Linked DNA regions of Drosophila melanogaster. The protein of the gene in region 3 interacts with the protein of the main gene of each other region in a pairwise test. Each region holds a gene or a part of one and is shown on either strand. Other genes may lie near its edges.

Region 1 (4,139 bases), on a different chromosome or scaffold from region 3:
GGATTCGCTGTGGTCCAACAAAAAGAACCGAGAACTAAAAACAAAAATCGCGACACAATCTTTCAGCGAGTGTGTGAATGTTGCTAAATTTATAAATAACAGCTTAAGTTGTGCTGCTCCCAAAGTAAATTGAAATAAAAGCAAAAGTGATACGCGTCCGTCGTCGTGAAACGGAAAACGCAGGCGATGGAAAATGGGAAAATAGGAAAAAATAAGAAAAATAAGAAAAATATCAACGCATAAATAAAGCGCGAGCCTCGCGTCCGATTCTGTCGCATTCGCCGGCTGCATTCCCAAATAGATCGGGGCGCTATAGTCTATATCTGCTCGTATGCCCTATAGGCATCGACAGTATATATCCCAAACCTGCCCGGTGCGTGCCGGTGGATTATGTAAAGTGACACACGGCCGATCCCGATACCGATCTCGGAGTATCGCCCAGCGCAAATAAAAGCAAAGGAAATAATAGTTTACTTAGCAGAAAAGAAATAAATACAATAAAATAAAATTGAATAAAATAGGGGAATGCAGAGAGAGTGTCGTAGAAATTTGTCGCACGCGCGCGATTTCAGTAAGTGCATCTAATTTATTTTGCATCTATTGCAATTGAGAGTCGGCATCCGGCAGATACGTTTTCGTAATTGTCGTCAGCGGTTCGAGTTCCTCCGTTTCGATCTCGCGCGAGTGTTTGCCAGATTGGATTACCAAACCCAGGCCATACCAAAATAAATTATACACCAATTTTGAAAGGGCGATAAACATACATTGTGACCGAATTTTGATCCGATCTGCGATCGAGGATCGCTTGCCAAGAGCAACGTAATGTCGTCCTACCGCAGTTATGTAAGTACTAGTTAATGCAGCGCCAACTATCCGTATCTGTATCTGCATAATACCTACTCGTACTATATAGTGTGTATCTCGATCTTTGTATCTTCGCTCTGTGCCTTTTTGCAATTCTTCGCATCCACGGATTTTGTTTATTTCTAATTTGTTGCCTTACCCCACACACAAGAGTATTTCGCAGATACATACGTATACGTTTTATATGGCAGATAAAATGTATCTGAATGTTCGCTCTCGATGTGGTGTGGGCTCCAGATCCATTGATAAACAATTTAGATACAAATTTGCTCATTGTCTGGTTTTTTGGTTGGGATTTGTGTCTAGTTGATTGTTCTAATTTCCTATCCACACAAATAGCACAAATTATGGCCGAGGTGTGGCTACTGAATGAACGAATTGTTGTGTTTGAATAGCAAACCAATGCATGAATAAATGGCTTTTACTTTGGCAAAGCAGGTTAAGTTCCGAATTTTAAACCTATTTAACTTGATTTATGTTAGTATTTGCGTATATGCACAGTTGTCAAAGGAATTAATTTTGAGTTATTTGACATACTTTATGGCAGATTCATTATTGATACTGACCAATGACTGACAGTTCCCAAGTAAACATTTTGTGTTATTTATTGAACTTATCATCATATTTATTTATATTATTAACCCGTTCGACATCATGTGATACTTGTGAACTTTTATATAAAAAGTGCATTATTTCTATATCTATCCTATAATATAAATACACTTAATTTCGGTTGTCATTCCCAAACTTCCAAATCGCTTTCTACTAATCCCCTTTATGTTCAACTCATTATATCCTTTTGTTCCCAGGCATCCAGTTTATGACTTTAGCCTGACTTTTGACTCATTGAGCATAAATCAATTAAATATTTTTCGGGTCTTAGAATCTAATAAACTGATCAATTTATGGGCGGCAAACAACAAGTTTCCACCCCATCCCACGCACATCTACCACTTCATCTTCTCCCGAGTCATTTCTCCAATTATATATAGAATGTTTCTAAAAATGTTGGGAGTAAAGCAAAATGATTTCTGTTTCGTTCACGTTGACGCAGTCTCTTTTTTCCTCATTGGAGTTGGTACTTTGTGTAGGATTTTTATGGCCAGAAGGAAGTTGTAAATATTTATGACAAGCATAAAGTTGAAAGTTCTCCGGTGAGAGCACGCACCACCTAATTAATTAACAAAGTGTGAATACTCATGCAATTTGTTTGTGAGGGGAGAAAGTAGGGGAACGGTAATGGAGAAACAATAAAGTTGCAAATATAACTAAAGCTTTTAACTTCATATTCAAAAAAAATAAGTATATATTATCATATAACTAAATTTATATTCATAATGTATTAGCGAAAGCGGTAATGATTAAACATTGTTTCGATTATTGATTTCATTAGAAATATCTCTACTCGTCACACACAATGCGATCACAATCAGTTTTCATTTGAATTATTCATCAAAACAGATCAAAATTTGTTGTAGTGTAGCACAAAGGAAGGCGGTGATAGGCGCTTCTCAAATAGGCTTCGAGATAAGGATTTATGAATCAAGCTATCTGAGTCCGAGATTATCCACGCACACTCACCCGTCCACCCAACTGCCACCCAAGCCCCCCACAACACTCGAACACAGACACAAGTCAAGGACATTTTTTGATAAAAAGATAAAAAATGACACGGCGTCGACGTCCACGATGTAAGGTGAATCCCTCGATAGCGCTGAGAAAGAAGAAACAGGAGACTGCACCCAGTGCAGAAAAGGTAGAGCCACAACGTCCACCGCCCTTGCCGGATCCGCCCAGCGAAGAGCCACCGGAAGTCGTCAGCACTTCGAGCGTAGAATCTGAAATCGAATCGGATTACAAACTCTTCCCGGAACTCTACGATCGCCAGCCGTCGATGCCCACGTTTGCTGATCTTTTTGGTCAGCCCTCTTATGAATCAGTGTTGCAGGAGCCCGAGGTGGCATCTACCTCCTCCTCAACGAACACAAATGCCGCGGGAATACGTAGTACAGACGATGGGAAATTCACTAATATTCCGGCCACGATGCTGTCAGATCAATTTGGGATCATTGGGCTGCTGGCCGCCATGAGGACTACGCAAACGGATCCGGGCGCCACGCAGCTGGTCTTTGGTGAGGATCTAACCACCTACGGACTAGATTTGGCTGCCCAGGGAGACATTTATGTGCATTTCAATGGGCCTCTAACCCGCGAACCACCTGACAGAAATTCCATGGACTGCGCCCTTGAGATGGGAATGCGTGCCATGCGTGATTCGATTATCAATGAACCACCGAAGGCTCCGTGTTGGGATCCATTTGAGCCAGAGACCCAAGATCTGGGACTTGTGGGCAGTCTTGAACCGGATGAGTTTACGAAATCCGATCCAGATACGGAAACGGATCCACCGCCAACTACTGATTTGACTGAAGATCCGGAAACGGATCGAGATGATAATCAGTATAGATAACACATTTGGAATCGGCGCCAAGGATAAAAAAGAAAGACTAGTCCCAAATAGAATAGCAATTTGGCAGTTGGTTAGATCTTTGAATACTTGGTAAAATTGTTGATCTTCGTGAATTGGTAGCCCTTCTGTATAAGAACTTGTTTGGCTTTAAATATAGAATTGGCTGAGGAGTAAAAACGGGAATAATTATTTGTTACGAAAAAAAGTGCGATTTAGTTATTTAAAATAAGGTTCGATTTAGTACATATATGTAAATATCGAAAAAAATTAATAAACATTCGGAAAATATCGAAAATGAATAAGCTCGGAATTGATTATAACTCATAAATTGGTTATAATCACTATAATTTTCAGATTAACTAATTTAATTTGTTTGGAAATTTATGTTTGAACGACTTTCTGGGGTTGAATATTTCATTATCCTTTTAAGCGCCGATCTCCACATAGTTGAGTTTCCCGAAACGCATTTTCGACACTTTCGTCAGAGCAAACTACAATAGAAAACGTATTTAAAAATAAATCATTTGTCTGGCAAGCGAATATTCAGTCGCCACTTCGAATCATCTGGGGTCACAGTCTAAATACTTTGTGAGTGGATGGCTTTCCTGGTCGTTCTTAATGGGCTGTGGCTACTGACAGACAGGCGCATTATAGCGCATCCTGCTCCTGATCTGCAGACTCCGAGATTCTGCAATCTCCTAATTGAGACCGCATAATAATGCTGTCAGAAGTGCAGCACTCCGCTGGAATCGGCGGTGAACAAAGTACACATGGCGAAGTCATTCCAGAGAAGATCCATAGGCCC
Region 2 (3,794 bases), on a different chromosome or scaffold from region 3:
ACTCGAAAGTTTTGATCGCCCATGCCATTTATGATTCAATTCAATCTATGCCTATGGCCACAAATAGTCGAGTAATTTATCGTATAAACTGCATTTTCAAGCCAAACTACTCACGGCCCAAATCAGCCGCATAATCAGCGCTATCGCCATCATCATCGGCACTATCATTATCATTATCATTATCATCATTGTTCCTTGTCGCGTCGTTGGGGATCGAAGGTTGTCGTTTGCTATTGGGGGGGTTACACGGGTTATTGAGGGTTACAAGGAGGTTACAAGGTGGTTACAGAGGGAGGAGGTTCATAGTAGGGAGCCAGCCAACGACAGACAGAGTCATTTATAAAATTTCCACCCGAACGTGTTAAATGGCGTCAATATTAAAAGTTCAAATATGACGCTGACGATGACGACGCTTGGGGAAAATGGGCAAGGGAAAATGGTTATGTGCGGGTGCATGGACGGTGACTTTAGGGGTTCGCGGGTCTAGGGCGTGATAAAATCGTAGGTTTGGCCAGGCAGGCAGACTAACATATATAGACGGCAAACGAATCAACAAACGTTGAAGCTATTATCGTTGTCGCAACATCGCACAACTACAGATACAACTGCGGCGTAACATGCATGGGTGTCTCTGGTCTAAGATAAAGGGGGTTCGTAACTGAAGTCTAGAAAGGGATATTTGCACTTTTAGAAAATAATAGCTACAAATCAAAGTCTTGAAAGTTCAAAAGCAGGCAATCATCTTGTTTTAAAGAGTATCCTGGTACCTTTATGTCTTGTCTTAAATGTAGTACTTAAATATACGAGTTTAGATCCCTTCTGCGAATGCCACTGCATACACACACACATATGGCATATGGTCCTTGTTGCTATTGCTCTTGCTGCTGCTCATCATCATCTTTTGGCGTTAGCAAGTGCTTGGCGGCAACTTCTAATGGCGGCATTATGCCCGCCAAACTCCACCCCCCTCCCCAAGCCTTATTCTGCTCATGAGTGTGTGTGTGTGTTTGTGTGTGTGTGTGTGCGCCCTGCGCAAAATGAAAATGAAACTGTTGCAAAATCCCATAAAACGGCCAAAAAGCTTTTGTAAATGACGCCAACAGCTGTCGATGGCAAAGCAGACAACGTCGCCGTCCGCCCAATTTGCCAAAGCACCCACCCACTCACTCATGAAGCCCCAAACACCCCCCCACCCCTTCGGAAACACCCCCTTCGTTGTACCACGATTGACATCTATGTGTGGGTGCACCGCTAAAAAATACTTCTATTTGAAATGATCGCTTTGTCTTAAGGTTTTTAAAACATTATAACATAGCATAGTAATACATAGTAATACTGAACTTGCCACAATAGAAACATTTGTATTCGATTTCAGATTATGTAACGCATATGTGAAATAATTTATTAGACTTAAATTGTTTTCAATACCAAATTGTTTTCACTGCTTAATTGTGTGTTAGAAATGGGGGTTAGATGGCGCTGCTAGTGGTGAGTGGGGCATCGTGAAGGTTTTTGGCGCGTTTTAATAAAGCGACAATGACATTTTATGAATTTTCCACTTTGTTCTCGGTCCACGCCCACAATACGCCAACCCAACACCCCCTAACCCGCCGATGACACCACGATGCCAGCCCCTTTGTGCTGTTTTCATTATTTGTTTGTTTGCCGAGAACCACAGACTGGCGGCCGGTTGGAATCCAGGACTCCAGGACTCCAGGACTGTAGGACTCCAAGACCAGGACTTCCAAAACTCCAAATGAATTGACATTGTCTGTGTATTCGACGGCTGGTTCAGTGTGTGTGTGTGCCGTGGGTTGGAGGGGGCAAGCCCCCGTGTGTGTTAGTGGGTGCTGGTGCCTGGGTGTTGCACAAAGGCGTGTCCCAGTGTGCCTTTTGATATCGGATTTCATTTATAATTAGCTGCAAAGTTAACGGTTGCCAGCCATACCTTGACTTGTGGTTGGTGGTGGCCCCGGTCAAGTAATTTGCTTGTCAGTTGGGTTCCCGGGGTTACTTGGCTCACCAGATGGATGGCAAGGCTGCCATGGGGCTGCACTGCAGGTGGTGGAAGCTGTCCAACGGCCAGGAAGATGTCGTAGTTTAAGTTAAAAGAATCTTTAAGCAAGGCTTTTTTTCCAATATTCTAGCCCCTTTCGATTGCAAGATAACTTAAAATTTAAATTATATTACCATTTATAAATGCACATGAGTAAAATTGTTATTATTATTATTGTTATATATAAATATATATCTATATAAATTTATTTAATAGCTTATAACATCGTTATCAGTGTGAACATTCTATAATCCTCCCATGCATTGCGGTAAGTCGATGATCAATTGTATCGATCGATAGCAAGCTTAATCTATCGGCGTAAGCAGCGTAGCTCTCATAAAACAATAACATTGAGAACCAGTCATTTCAACCACATTGCTTTGGCTTTGCCATGGCCAAGATATTGCCCACCGATGGCATCTGGATACCGGAGTCGTGCAGCTTTCCGGAGGATGTGATGATCGATATGATGGAGGGACTATTCCGCGATGTGCCAAACCTAACGCACAAGGAGTACCTGGCGCTGGCCGACCTGCAATCTAGATGGATGGCGAAGCTGGCCAACCGACAGCCGGAATCGAATCCCCTGCCGCCAAAGCCAAAGAAGCGTAAGAAAATCGCTCCAAAGAAGCAGGACCAGCCTGTCGAGGAGAAGGGCAGCGAAGTCGACATCTACGATGTGGACGACAACGAGATGGTCAACAATCGCATCTACATTCCGCGACTGCGTTCCGCTTGGAGAGCTCGCTATTTCAACATTATGATGCGCGCCTTTGTCATCAAACGGGGACTATTGAATAAGCACATTAACTGGCAGATTCTCGACAAGATCATGGCAGCCCCCGACGCAGAGGGACAAGCCGAGCTTCAGGCGTTTGTTGACAAAGTGGTCGCAGGCCAGGAAATGTAGTCCTTACAGCCTCCTAGGATAAGCACCCAAACACATAGATATGTAAATTCAAAATATCAATTGTTTACTCAAATTAAAAATAACAATTGTATAATCAAATCAACCTTTGTAAAATCATACCAATTGAACATAAGCATAGGTGTGAAGCAAAACCAGAGCCAATAAACCATACGAATGCCATCGTCTTCTGTGGGCCAAATCAACAAACGTTTTCCCAATTTCCCCATGAACGGCTCGGTGCCACACACCGAAACATGGGAGAAGTTACAAAGTAAATTCCACGCCCGGTTGCCAAGTGGTAGTCCAAATTAACAGCTAATTACGTGCGAATGAGAGCTACCCGGTTGGGGGATGTGGTCCAAATGTACTGGCTGCGAGCAAAATGGAAAACGGGGCAGGTCACAACGAACACGTACTAGCAACTAAATGGAGAGAAAGCGAGACAGACACCGAGTCAAACAACATTTGAATACGAAATTGCCCTTGAAAAAAGGGTTGCCAGCAAAAAAAAAAAAAAAAAAAAAACAATCAAAAAAAGTACAAGATATTCCAAAAGTCCCTGCGAGGCGAGAACAAAAGTGACAAATTAGTCAGTGGGTGGGGGTGTCAGTGGGAGGCAGTCGACACTGAAAGCGTTAAAATTGAGATGGGGTGCGCCAAAAATATCCACTCGGAAAACGTTGAACTTACATATATAATGCAAGACAACTTGGTCGTTAGACCGGGTCTTTCTGTATTCTTTCTGGTCATTACAACATAATATTGTGGCGGTTGTCATAAGGAAACTTTCACAAATCTGCACACGTAGCTCGATCTCTTTTTGCATAA
Region 3 (4,369 bases):
AGCGCGAGCTGGACAACGAGCGCATGAAACTGGAGTGGGAGATGCGTGAGAAACAAGCCGAGGAGATTCGAAAGCGGGAAGAGGAATACATGCATCGTTATCAAAACCAATTACTTCGCCATGAGGAGGATATGCGAGCCCGTCAGCAGGAGAACGATTTGCTAATGCAGGCCAAGAAACTCAACATGATCCTCGATCAGCAGGAGGGATTCGGAGGCAGCAACTCTGGATTCGAACACTTTGATTCCCCTTTTGAAGTATTTGGGAACAACAGCAACAATTCAACAATGGCTGGACCTGGAGGTCCAGATAATAGCGACGGAAACCAACACGGACACATTGATTCATGGGGACACCGACGCTTCTAGACACTGAAACCTATATAGATAGCGACGAAAACAATAGTGATCTCATTAGTTACGCATAATATCGGACATTTCGCTCGGCTATGCGTGAACAATAACATAAATAACAAATGGGATCATGCAAGCGAAGATGCATTCATCTCATTATAATATAAATTGAATTTATATAATTAACCAAAAACTGTTAAAAACGGTCTCAACAACAAATCCACCACGAAATATTAACACAAAAATGACAAAATCCAAACACGAATGGCAACTTACAAGATGTGCAGTATTTCGAAGAAAAACACCTGAACATAACCATCCATCATCCATTAGATATATGTAGAGACTACCTCCTAACACGATTAATTTTTGTCTATCATTCAAATTAAATATTGAATGCGACTGAAATTACTGATTATTTGGAGTCGAATATAGATAAAGAGCCTAATTTTTATAATCGTAGATTATACTTTGATTTATGAGTAAATAATCGAAATCGGACTTGCTTTTATTTCAATGTATTTCTCATCCCATCTCTGTCTACTTTTAATAAAAACGGCTCTAACCTAAGGTTTCACTGGGAATTTATGTTGGTAATAAATGTGTTAAAGCGGAAAAGTCGGAAAATGCCATCAGCTCTATTGGGAAATCCGGCAATAAGTTGCAAGGCTGTCCGAAAGGACACATTTCCGCCGGTATCTTCAGTCCCACGACGCTGTCCATATATTAGGTCAAAATGCAATCACTTGTTTAAACAAAAGAATTTATTTGATCAACAGAATGAACTATTGTATGAACCCTCCTCCCATTCACCCAACAATTACACAATTGTATTGTACCGAAGCAATCAAAGATTTCAGTTCAATTACCCGTGGTATAACCATCAATTTGAATTTCCTCGAGATGGAAACAGATGGAAACTCTTCATTTTGTCCAAACGTATATATGTATATATATATATTTTTTTGTAGCTTCGTTAAAGTTCATGATAGTTAAGTACAAATTTCTTTTGAAGTAAATTTTTAGCAATAAACTAAAGCTATTCCGTGCCATTGATATAAGAATTTAAGATCTATATTTACAACATTTTATCTGCATATAATACAAGATGTGGTGGCTTTGAGTTCATTATCTAAGTAAGCCGCTGTTGATTTGCTTGATTAACTAGCAAAAGCCAAAATGATGCTTTGCTTTCCATTTTTGTAGTTTCGAATTGAATAGTACGGCAATTTAATTTTTGATTTATGTATTTATTTTATTAAGCCATTTATGGGCTTTTAGTTCTGCTTATAAAAATCATGATATAGTAAATCAATATTTTATGATAGGATGCTGTCAAGATTTTAAACAAAAATGTAAGCCCAAATGTCAGGTGGCATTAGAATTTAGCATCAGATTTTAGCCAAATCAATACAAGATTTTTAATACAAACTTTTAAAACAGAGTTGTAAAGGGAAAAATTCGATAAGTTCCGATTGAAAGTGCAATCGCTGTTTGAGTGAAACAACCCCTGAATCAGTCATTTCAAAACGTCGATCAACGGTCACACTGCGACTTTGGCGACTTAAAAAACACCCAAGAAAATTGATTTTTCGCTCAAACCGAAAGCAACACCTTTGGGCATCAAATAGATTTCTCGGAATTGAACGCGCACCGCTAGGAAACAAAGAAAAGCCAGCATGGCAGCATCGCAGGTTGACCAGGTGAGCGAAGGGTGGAACTGCCGAAAGCTTTCCGGCCGGAAAACGGCGTCGCCATTGAAGCCCCATTAGTTAATATCATAATGATTCCTCATTTTCCGGCATTTTCCAGAAACGAGCACTTAACAAATTAAAGCACGACTTGGAGCCTTTCCGGACAGCCATCGTGGGAGCGTACGGCGTGCTAACCTGGGAGAAGCAGTACTACGCCGGAGTGGTGTTTGGCGTCATCAGCTGCCTGTACCTGGTGCTGTGGTACCTGGACTTGTCGCTGATTACCCTGCTGTCGCTGCTCGGTGTCATTAGCATTTTGCTGAACTACGCATTCCCCATGGTGTCGCGCCTGATCTTTGGCGGAGTCAACTGGGATGGCGACCAGGAGGCCAAGTTCGAGGACGTGTGCGGCCAGGTGTGCGCCGTCAAGGGCAGCCTGGTGGTCTGGTACGAGTACCTCTTCAACGAGCGGAAGTCCACAGTGGTGAGTAGATGCGGTAGAGACCGTGTGTGTATATGTATATGAAAACAGAGAAGCAGTTTCAGGGCCTAGTATGTGCAGTAGATCTTCTTCTGCAAGCTCAAGTGTAAATAAAAACTTCGGGTTCTATTATTATTTCATCTCACATTTATTCGTTTTGATTCCAGTTTGTAATCGTCATGAGTTTGGGTCTTTTGGCTATGGCCTGGATTGGAGCCATCATTAACAATCTACTGCTTATGTACTTGGCCACCCTACTCATCCTCATGTGGCCAGGACTACAGAACAAGGACATTTTTAAGGCCATCACCCAAAGGGCCTCGAAGATTATTAACGAGAAGATCCAGTGCGGCAAAAGGAAGCTGCAGTAAAGGAAAGCAACCAGATAAACTCATCACCATTTGACCAAAAATATAAAACATGCCTAAGTCATCTACTTGCCATTATGCACACATCGCATCACTAAATCACACATTAGGCGCATTGAATTTGAAACTATAAATATCTTAAAAGATAAGAGCAGCGCATACAGAAAAAAAAAACTCGGAAAACTAGCAAATCCGTGGTTCTGGCCCCATCACATCTCCTACTATAAGTTTGTAACATGTAAGACAGAAGTATTCTCGAAACGAGGCGTACGGAGAGAGAAAAAAACGCGCAACAAAAGACAAGGCATTTTTGTGATTATTTTGTGAGTTAATTGAAATTTATGATAATCCCAAGTAAGATAAAAAAAGGAACTTAAGCGTCTAATGAACTATATTTAAATAAAGATTTCAACTAAATAGATCAATCACTGACGGTCTCTTGACCTTGATCGCGTGCGGGACCTGACATGCTTGCTCCTCTTGGTCTTCTTTTTGTGCTTGCTGTGGTGACGACGATGGTTTTCACCGAGGCTGTCATCGCTCTCTAAGCTGGAGTCGTTGTCCGCCTTTCTCGACTTGTTCTTGGACTTCTTTGAGTGTTTTCTTGACTTGTGGCTGGATGATTTCTTCTTGTGCTTCCTGCGTTCATATGCAGAGTCGGAGTCGCTCTCGGTGGACTCTCCCGTATCGTCTGCCTCGTCTGAACTACTCTTTGTTCTTCTGGTGCTTCGGGGACTTTGCGAACGCTTTTGGTCACGGTCTTCCCGCTTCGACTTAGATGGGCTTCTGCCTCTGGGACTCGGCGAACGACGACGCTCACGTTCCTCGCGTTTAGATACAGAGGAGCTACCACTCCGCACATACTTCTTTTCTCGATCCACCTCCTCTTTGTTAGATTTGGCTTCCTTGTACGATTTTCGCTCGTCTTTGTACGTCCTGCGATGTTCGTCTTTGTACGTTTTTTTGTCTTCATATTTGTAAGACCTTTTATCTTCTTCCTTGCATTTCATGCGATAGTCTTCTTTACTAGATCTCTGGTCCCCTGGCTTCGAACTCTTTTGATTTTGAGCTTCATCCCGGTCTGATCTAATTTCTTCCCTGCGGTCTCTGTCCCTTCTTCCTGACGGATTTTCCTGCTTCACAATAATCTGGCCATGCTCGTTTTCATTTTTTTTGAATTCTTCGTATTTGGCAGTGTCTGAAAGTAAATGTAAAAGAAATATAAAAATGTCACAAATATAAAGGATTTGCATTTTCCAGGCTCCACTTACTTATGCACTTGCCATACTGAGAGTACTCCTTGCGGGATACGGGCTGACAAAGGAACTCGTTGAACGCCTCTTTGGCCCCTCCAATTGCCATTTTGACAATTACTCGCCCTGCATGGTCATCAAAACCTTGGATTTGGCCATACTGATCCTTCTGCTTTCCGCCCAGAATGCGCACGTACGCCTGCTTCTTAATCTCCAGTAC

The links. The genes of interacting proteins can lie anywhere in the genome.
Region 1: the proteins of Arl6IP1 (region 3) and CG6576 interact in a two-hybrid assay, tested with the Drosophila melanogaster proteins (one large-scale study listed by BioGRID).
Region 2: the proteins of Arl6IP1 (region 3) and moon interact in a two-hybrid assay, tested with the Drosophila melanogaster proteins (one large-scale study listed by BioGRID).

The regions. Positions count from the first base shown.
Region 1 is NT_037436.4:8,753,653-8,757,791, forward strand, and holds CG6576 (uncharacterized protein), read left to right. Parts: upstream 1-2,336; 5' UTR 2,337-2,530; coding exon 2,531-3,334; 3' UTR 3,335-3,515; downstream 3,516-4,139. Other genes in the region: Fhos (formin homology 2 domain containing), read left to right, coding at 823-843.
Region 2 is NC_004354.4:12,071,384-12,075,177, reverse strand, and holds moon (moonshiner), read left to right. Parts: upstream 1-2,359; 5' UTR 2,360-2,447; coding exon 2,448-2,966; 3' UTR 2,967-3,170; downstream 3,171-3,794.
Region 3 is NT_033777.3:16,641,853-16,646,221, forward strand, and holds Arl6IP1 (ADP-ribosylation factor-like 6 interacting protein 1), read left to right. Parts: upstream 1-1,752; 5' UTR 1,753-2,032; coding exon 2,033-2,056; intron 2,057-2,165; coding exon 2,166-2,531; intron 2,532-2,695; coding exon 2,696-2,899; 3' UTR 2,900-3,319; downstream 3,320-4,369. Other genes in the region: nonA-l (nonA-like), read left to right, coding at 1-368; CG10324 (uncharacterized protein), read right to left, coding at 3,322-4,094, 4,168-4,369.